Linked DNA regions of Saccharomyces cerevisiae S288C. The protein of the gene in region 1 binds, or shares a complex with, the protein of each later gene. Each region holds a gene or a part of one and is shown in the gene's direction. Other genes may lie near its edges.

Region 1 (4,035 bases):
ACTGTATTTAAGTATTTTACCCAATGAAGTGATAGCAATTACACCGAATGAAAACCATTGAAATCCCTTGATACTTTCATTCTTTTCGAAAATATCGCCACATTGCTTTGCGATATCATCTAGACTGAACGATGTTTCTTCATCGCCGTGTCTCTTCAGTTGAAGAAGATCAATCAGCTTTAACCTACCATCATTCCCGGAGGTTACAGCTATCATTTCGTCGTCTTTCACATCAACGCCCCATATACTCTTGATTAAATGTACTTCGTAAACGTTAGATATGGATAATTCGGCAACGTTTTCTCGTGATTCGATAATGTTCCATACACGGCATGTGCAATCTTCAGAAACACTTATTAGTTTTGAATCATTATCAAAAAACATTAAATTCCATATTCTTGCCGTATGGCTCCAGCCAACAGACAGCTGCTTGCCAGTTTCTAAATCCCACAGTCTAATTGATCTGTCGTCAGAGCAACTGGCAACATATCTTCCGTTGTTGCTTAAATTAACATAAAAGATAGAACCTTCATGACCCAGTAAGTTATGAATTTTTGTCTCCGAGAACAGGTCCCAAATGATAACACCGCCCATTACAGTACCAGCGTTAACATATACTTTATCCGGACCGAAAACTTTAATTATACCGGAATATAGAATAGATCTTTCTCCCCCAAGAGACTTCCTAAAAAGAACTTCACAATTTAAATCACAAATTAGCACTTTATTATAACATGTTAACAAATATATTTGCAAGTTGTCAAAGCTGAATGTAGCACCGGTAATCCAATCTGAGTTAATCCTTTCGAAATCCACCAATGACTCTTTCTTTAAAACGTCTTCAAGTTCCACTATTGTTACTGATCTTGCACCATAGGCCAAAATTTTCCCTTCACTAGAAAGGCTAAGTCCATGAACTTTATTGTAGTGAAATAGCCTACATTTGTTAATCAACGTAGCCGAATGATAGTCATAGACATGGATGAAAGGCCCATAACCAGCTAGAACATAATCATTGTAAAATTTAACACATAGCGCAGGACCATAATGAGACAAGTCCTTCATTTTAATCACTTATTCTTCTTCAATGAGCAACTTCAATTGGCGGGAATGAGAAGCTAAATAACGATGAGGTCCGCTAGCAGAAGTTTTTTCATGCTCATATTTTTCCACTTTTTTTTTCTTACATTTTTTTTTTCAGCAGCGTCGTTTTTTGTGAGACGCCGATGTGTATGCTAGGCTTAAATCTATCATTCAGACCCCAGTGTAAAACATAAGCGGTGAAAAGTACGTAGGGTAGTATACAACTCACCAAAGCACGACTACGTGAAAATGACCCTGAGAGTATCATCAATGTTATCGGCTGTATAAATAATACACCAGAACAAATTCCTCTTAAAGATGTAGGCAAGACCAGACTCAGTTTCTCTGAGCAGTACCTTCAATTTTCAATTTTTGATAGATGTTCGTCACTAATATTTTTTTATTGAGTTAAGTTCACCCACTTCTGGCACTTCTTATAACCTTGATAATTAAAAAGACCTCGGCGGTTATTTTTTATTTTGAGCAGTTATAAAGGGCATTACCCTCATCATCTTGCGGAAATAGGACGGAGCACGTCGCAGACAGGCTTTAACGTAATCAATTAGTTTTGAAAAATTTCTCCGCTATGGGTAAACTAGGTAAACCGCACAGCACAATCAGCTGCATTTTCTATTTTCAATTTTCTATTGGTGGCTTTTCACTGCATGATCAAAAAATAACGTTTTGTTGATTAGTTTTTTCTTTTTTGTTCTTGTTGGTTTTCGTATATGAATTTTATGTAACTGGGTATTTACAGGGGTACAAAGTTCACAACAGAGACCATCAATAGTTTGTTTCCTTCGAAGTTTACTTTGCGTAACCTTACTAAAAGATAGCATAAACATATAGGAGTATAGAGAAGAGTAATGGAATCGACAGCAATAGTGCCTAAAGGCCCTGTTGTGGGTAGTGAAGATATGGAGAAAGCGGAAGTCATTGCTAGTGGGTCCACAGACATTATATCAACAACATCAACAGCGACAACAACGGCGGCGATTGGAAGTGTACAGGAAGAAAGTGTAAAACAAGAAGATGTTCCTATGGAAGGTGGAGAGGGGGAAGTCGAGGAAGAGGAAGGCGAAACTCGCTGTATCTGTGGAGAGCTCGATACTCCAGATGACTCCGGATTTTTCATTCAATGTGAGCAGTGCAGTTCCTGGCAGCACGGTTATTGTGTGAGTATTACTCAAGACAACGCACCTGATAAATATTGGTGCGAGCAATGCAGACCGGAGTTACATCAGCTCTTTACCACAGATACTGGCGAAGCAAGGTCAATCTATAAACCTGTGCAAGAGAAAAGGAGGCAATCAAGAAGGAAGGCACGAAGTGCAGCTGCAAGTAAATCTCATGCCGCCAATGAAGCAGAGAAAAGTCCCAGAAATACCAGCAATACCGATGATAACGTCGACGATATCGGCGACGAAGAAGATGAAGTAGAAGATGAAGCTTCGGCTGTAGCATTAGCCAAGGACGGCAACACGAGGTCAAGTAGAAGGAGGAGGAGGAATTCAATGGATGATGCTTCTACCGATCAGTATTCACTGGATCCTGGAGATAGTGATAAGAAGCTACTGGATAGAAAAAGGGCAACTTTCATGGCAAGAGAAGAAAAGCAATATCAAAGAATGCTTGAAAAAGCCTTGAAAGAAAGCAGGAGGACATCACATCAAGAAGATCCTGAAAGTTATGAAAATGATGCTGATATATACCAAGGTGATACCGACAATCACAACGGCACCACTCGATTACAAACGGATGTTATGCTAACGGAAGGCAAACCGGACTCGGTAACAAATGATGATATGAAAGAAAGCCTACGACCATCGAAAGAGCAATCAATGGAAAAAACAAATGATGTGGAAAAAGAAGCTAGTCAAGAAAAGGAATCTTCTACGGGTTCGGCGCAAGACACTGAGAAAACTGATGAACCCATCCTACCCCTAACCTCAATATCTTCTTCTGAGGATGATTCAAGGAAAGCTAGTTCGAGGGGTTCTAAAAGAGTTTCCAAACCAGCAAGAAAGGGCAACAGAACTCGTCGAAGCAATACAAGTTCAGACACCAACCAAAATAGAAGGAGTGCTGATATAGGTACCGACAAACCAGTAAAGCCCAGATTACCCCCTCAAAGGACCTCATTAAACGAAATGAGAAGAAGGGTATCCGCTATTTTGGAGTTCATTTCTAGAACTCAATGGGAATTGAGTGAAGATCAGTCTGATCGAGAGGAATTTGTACGATTCGTGGAAAACCAGCATTTCGTAGAAAAAGTTGATACGATTTACAACGGTTATAATGAAAGTCTATCAATGATGGACGACCTGACTAGAGAGTTACTACTATGGGAGAAAAAATATTCAAATAACACTAATGCCATTCAATAAACGCAAAACACTGCAATATTATTCTCAACCAAAGTATAACTGTAATGAGGCGAACAAACACATCTATACATATATATACATCTATATGGATATAAAAACGACTAATTCAACGTTGTTTTTATCAACCGAGCTTACTCTTGTACGGGTAACCGCAAGGATAGCTAGTTGCGGATGGTATAGCGATTTGGCTGGCACGATGATTAAGGAATCCAAACATCTAATGGACTAGCACATTCTATCGATTTACGGGTCAGGTAAACATAGATATTGGGATATATCATATATCCTTACTGAGTAACTATAATTATGGTTCATCGAGGAAGGACTTTGAAGTCAGACACTGATGTAACATCTCTTAATGCGTCAACAGTATCACACCAGTCAAAGCCATTTAGACAGTTTTCGACTAGGTCGAGAGCAAAGAGTAACGCAAGCTTCAAAGGTTTGCGTAGAGTTTTAACACATGATGGCACCCTGGATAATGATTATTTTAATAAGCACAACGTTTCTCAGAAATGCAAGAGTTCTGATGCACTTTTCAGAAAGCGAACGATTAGTGGGTTGA
Region 2 (4,117 bases), on another chromosome or scaffold:
TTTGCTCTTTGCACCAATAGATGTTACTCTCCAAATATCTTACAGGTCGTCTTCCACGTGGTATCTATCAAAGTAGCCAGATCCACGTCCTTGACTTCCGATACGACAATTGCTACTTGTTCCATATTACAAGGCTCATTACGGCCCTTGACCATGTAAAGTTCTTCTGCATTCAACTTGTCAGCGAGCTTATTTTTCTTAACGGACTTGAATGCAGGGTATTCGAAATCCCTAACCTCCTGGTATTTGGCTAAGTACTGGAAAGATGCATGCGTTCTTTTAATCTCACACCACGGAGCATCTGTCTCTAATAACAACCTTTCTGTTGGTATTTGCTTTACAACAGCTAGATTTTCCTCGGTTCTCAACGAGCAACCGTTTACTCCTATGAAGATGTTGGGTGATAAGTTCAGTAATTTCTGCAAATCTATCGCAGAACCAGTGAATGAATGGACCACTAGTTTTCTATCTGGATGAAATTTGTAAAACCCGCTAGACGACGATGCACCTAACTTTTGTAGCTGAAAGGTATCCCTCTCATCAGTGAACCCGGCAATAAATCTTTCCAATATTTGAACAAAATCGTCACATGCGCTTCTCATATGCAGAAACAATGGATAGCTGCTGAGTTTATCGTTCAAACAACTTATTTTCAGTTGCTCTTCAAAAAAAACCTTTTGCATCTCTTTAGAACTATAGTGAAATCTGTCGTAGTCCAACCCGATCTCACCAATTGACCTGAAACTTGTATCATGAGGTTTTGCTTGCTGATTCATCAAATCATAAAGCTCTTTCAGTTTACCCTGTGCAAAAGATGGATTACTAATAACTTTAGCATATAGAGACTCATTATATGCTTCATCCATGGAAGGGTTATCAATAGAAGCGCTAGCCTTGTCCCCTTGACTAGCATCCGCAAACTCGTTAACGCAACATGGGTGAACACCTATTGTGTGATACAGCTTTAACGGGCTAAGATCTTTGACGCTGCTTACCAACTCAATGGCACTTTGAGACTCCGCTATGGATGATCCTGTAACAAGGGCATTTTTCACGTGCCTCTGAGCAGCACGCTCTAATAATTTTACATAATCTGCTGGATGGTACTGCTTACCATTGTAAATACCGTGAAACATAGGATCTGTCAGATTCAATCCAATATCATAGTATTTCAGCGGAGAATCCGTGGCAGTTGATGTCATGCTATAATATTGTGTCAAAATTGGTTTCCAGAGCCTAGAACAACTTTTGTTCGAGGATTTCAATAAGATGCCCCACATATAACTATAACAGTACTGGCGCCTCAAAAAAATGCCTTGGCAGCGAAAGTGTCCACCTTTAGTTGTCCATTGCTACCAGGACATCACCACTGGGCCCTTCCAGCATGCTGGAAAGATTGTTCTTAGAAGAGTGCTGTTCTAAGTAACCCGGCGTTAGTAGGGGCTAAGCCTTCTAGAAGGCCGGAAAAGGCTCAGAAATGCCTGCAGTGCAAAGCTTTTCAGGAACGTTACTAGCGCAAGTCTTCTGGCTGCTGTTTAGCAACCTCTTTGCAGGTATTTCGCAGCGGGATTTCGCAGGTGTCTTGCCTAGCGTATCAACACTTAGTAGCAGTTAGGTTCTAAAGTTAAACTCCACTTCCGTTCTTCTTCGAGTTCCTTTTTGAGCGGTTTGGCCTATCTTGTCTCATCATCTTGTTAGTGTGCGACGTTATCTGTGGGTGAGAGAGGCTATTTTTGGTCCGGTGAAAAAAAAATTTTTTCTCTGCTGAGAGCTGAAATTTGAAAATTGAGATGAGATGCGATGCGATGAGATGCGAGACCAATGCGATGAGACACTTTTCTACTTCCTTACACAGAAGTCGTGTATAGTTTTTGTACGTTGATATTAATAAAGGCTTTTCATATCATTTTGTTTTCAGGTAAACAAATCTGGCAAATCTCCACTGCTTGAGTCATTAAAACTACTCACTCAAGAAGGCATATACACGACAGTGGGTAGAGAAAAGAATATATCACTGTTCTTATTGAAGTTCCCTCGCGATGACGTTGCCGAAACTCAGTAGCGTTTCTGTTTCATCAGGACATGTTAGTGCCAACTCACATGGTTTCTCAATACTAAGCAAACACCCTCACCCAAATAATCTTGTCCATTCCCACTCACTTTCTCACACAAATGCGAAGAGCCACCTGCCTATCAGTAGCACTAGCACTAAAGAGAACAGCACGAACAAGGAGGAGGCGGAATCACTCAAAAAAAACAACCCCTCTTCTTGGGACCCTAGTGATGATATCAAGCTCCGCCACCTGAAAGAGATCAAGAACTTGGGCTGGAAGGAGATTGCACATCATTTCCCAAATAGAACTCCTAACGCTTGTCAATTCAGATGGAGGAGACTGAAATCAGGCAACTTAAAGTCTAACAAGACCGCAGTTATTGACATCAATAAGCTATTCGGCGTGTATGCGACTGGTGATGCTACCCCATCCGCGGGTACTCCGTCTGCGGAAGAAGCCGTAAAAGAGGAAGCTGTTGAGGATGAAGATATTACTGCAGGTTCTAGTGCTATCGAGGATTCTCCACCGGATTTCAAGCCATTAGTTAAGCCTAAATACATGGACAGAAAACTGATAACTCAAAGATCTACATCAACATTTTCGGACCATGAGCCACAACACACGAAACCAAGGAAACTGTTTGTTAAGCCAAGGTCCTTCTCTCATTCTATAACAACCAACACGCCTAATGTAAAGACTGCTCAGCAGACAAATCTAAGCCTTTATAACACTACTTCAGCAAAGACAAATAAAGCTGTTAATTCCAATGATTATGAGAATATTGGTCTTGTGCCTAAAATTATTATCAGGTCTAGAAGGAACTCCTTTATTCCTTCAACTCAAATCCCTCATTCAACGACGAAGACTAGGAAAAACTCGCATTCCGTAATTTCTTCTAGAAGATCATCTTTTAACATGATGCATTCAAGAAGATCATCCTTCAACTCTCACGCTCCTACGGAGCCTATTTCTAGAAGAGCTTCCTTGGTAGTTAGCCCGTATATGTCACCCAGAAGGTTATCTACATCGCAATCCGTTCATTATCATCCACAGCACCAATACTATCTTAACCCCATAGCGTCTCCCAACTGCAAGACAGACCACGCAAATGACAAAATCACGCACACGAGGACTTTCTTAGATATGCAAAAATTCGCTAATAAACACCCGTGGTCTAGAGAAGATGATGAAGTGCTACTTAACAATACGAAGGACAAACAAAACCATTTGTCGCCGCTAGAAATTTCTATTGTTCTGCCTAATAATAGATCCGAGTTGGAAATCCAACAAAGAATGGATTATTTAAAGAGAAAAGGACGTGTAAGTGGTTTTCATACAAATGAAGGATGCAAAGACGAGGAGGAGGAGGATGACATTGACCCACTGCACAAGGAGAATGGCATTAACACGCCATCGCAGCAATCGCAAAATTACGGTATGTTAGAGGCTAAACATGATAATCCAAAGTCTAGTGAGCTTTCTTCTATGACCAGCGCAAATGACATACGCAATGAGCAAGATGAACTTCCAGGTATAAATTCTATCTTTAAAAATATATTTTAAGCTAAGAGACGAATTTAGTTTGTTTTGACTATTCGTTTAATGAGTACAAATTAATCGCACCCACACATGTACACACACACATATATATCTTTATATATACACATAAAATTTATTCGTAGGAGAATTCTGTAATACTATTGACTACAAGGGTTCTTATTGCTATTAATAATGTTACATGTATATGCTTATATCCAATATATACCCATCGCCGCTTATTCTTCGTCATCCTCTATTAGAGTTATTTTTCTTCTTTTTCTGACTCTCTCCTTCCTTATGTGGCTTTCTATATCGTTTTCATCCTGCTCTTGTCCTTTTCTCTTCCCATCCTCATCATCATCACTGTCTTCTTCATATGTGTCTTCCTCCTCATCATTTTCTTCTGATATTTGCTCATCCTCAATGTCATCATCAAGGGTAAAGTCTTCGTCTTCGTCTTCATCTTCTTTGGCGTTTTCACCTACATATAATTCAGTATCTACATCGTTTTCTACTTCATCCTG

The links. Proteins that work in one complex are often made in the same cells at the same time.
Region 2: CTI6 (region 1) and TOD6 share a complex: the UniProt entries of both Saccharomyces cerevisiae proteins name them as parts of the RPD3C(L) complex.

The regions. Positions count from the first base shown.
Region 1 is NC_001148.4:201,472-205,506, forward strand, and holds CTI6 (Cti6p), read left to right. Parts: upstream 1-1,949; coding exon 1,950-3,470; downstream 3,471-4,035. Other genes in the region: tRNA (34-2'-O)-methyltransferase regulator RTT10, read right to left, coding at 1-1,065; TCO89 (Tco89p), read left to right, coding at 3,777-4,035. UniProt on the Saccharomyces cerevisiae protein: Component of the RPD3C(L) histone deacetylase complex (HDAC). Responsible for the deacetylation of lysine residues on the N-terminal part of the core histones (H2A, H2B, H3 and H4).
Region 2 is NC_001134.8:115,550-119,666, forward strand, and holds TOD6 (Tod6p), read left to right. Parts: upstream 1-2,039; coding exon 2,040-3,617; downstream 3,618-4,117. Other genes in the region: YBL055C (3'-5'-exodeoxyribonuclease), read right to left, coding at 24-1,280; SAS3 (histone acetyltransferase), read right to left, coding at 3,830-4,117. UniProt on the Saccharomyces cerevisiae protein: Component of the RPD3 histone deacetylase complex RPD3C(L) responsible for the deacetylation of lysine residues on the N-terminal part of the core histones (H2A, H2B, H3 and H4).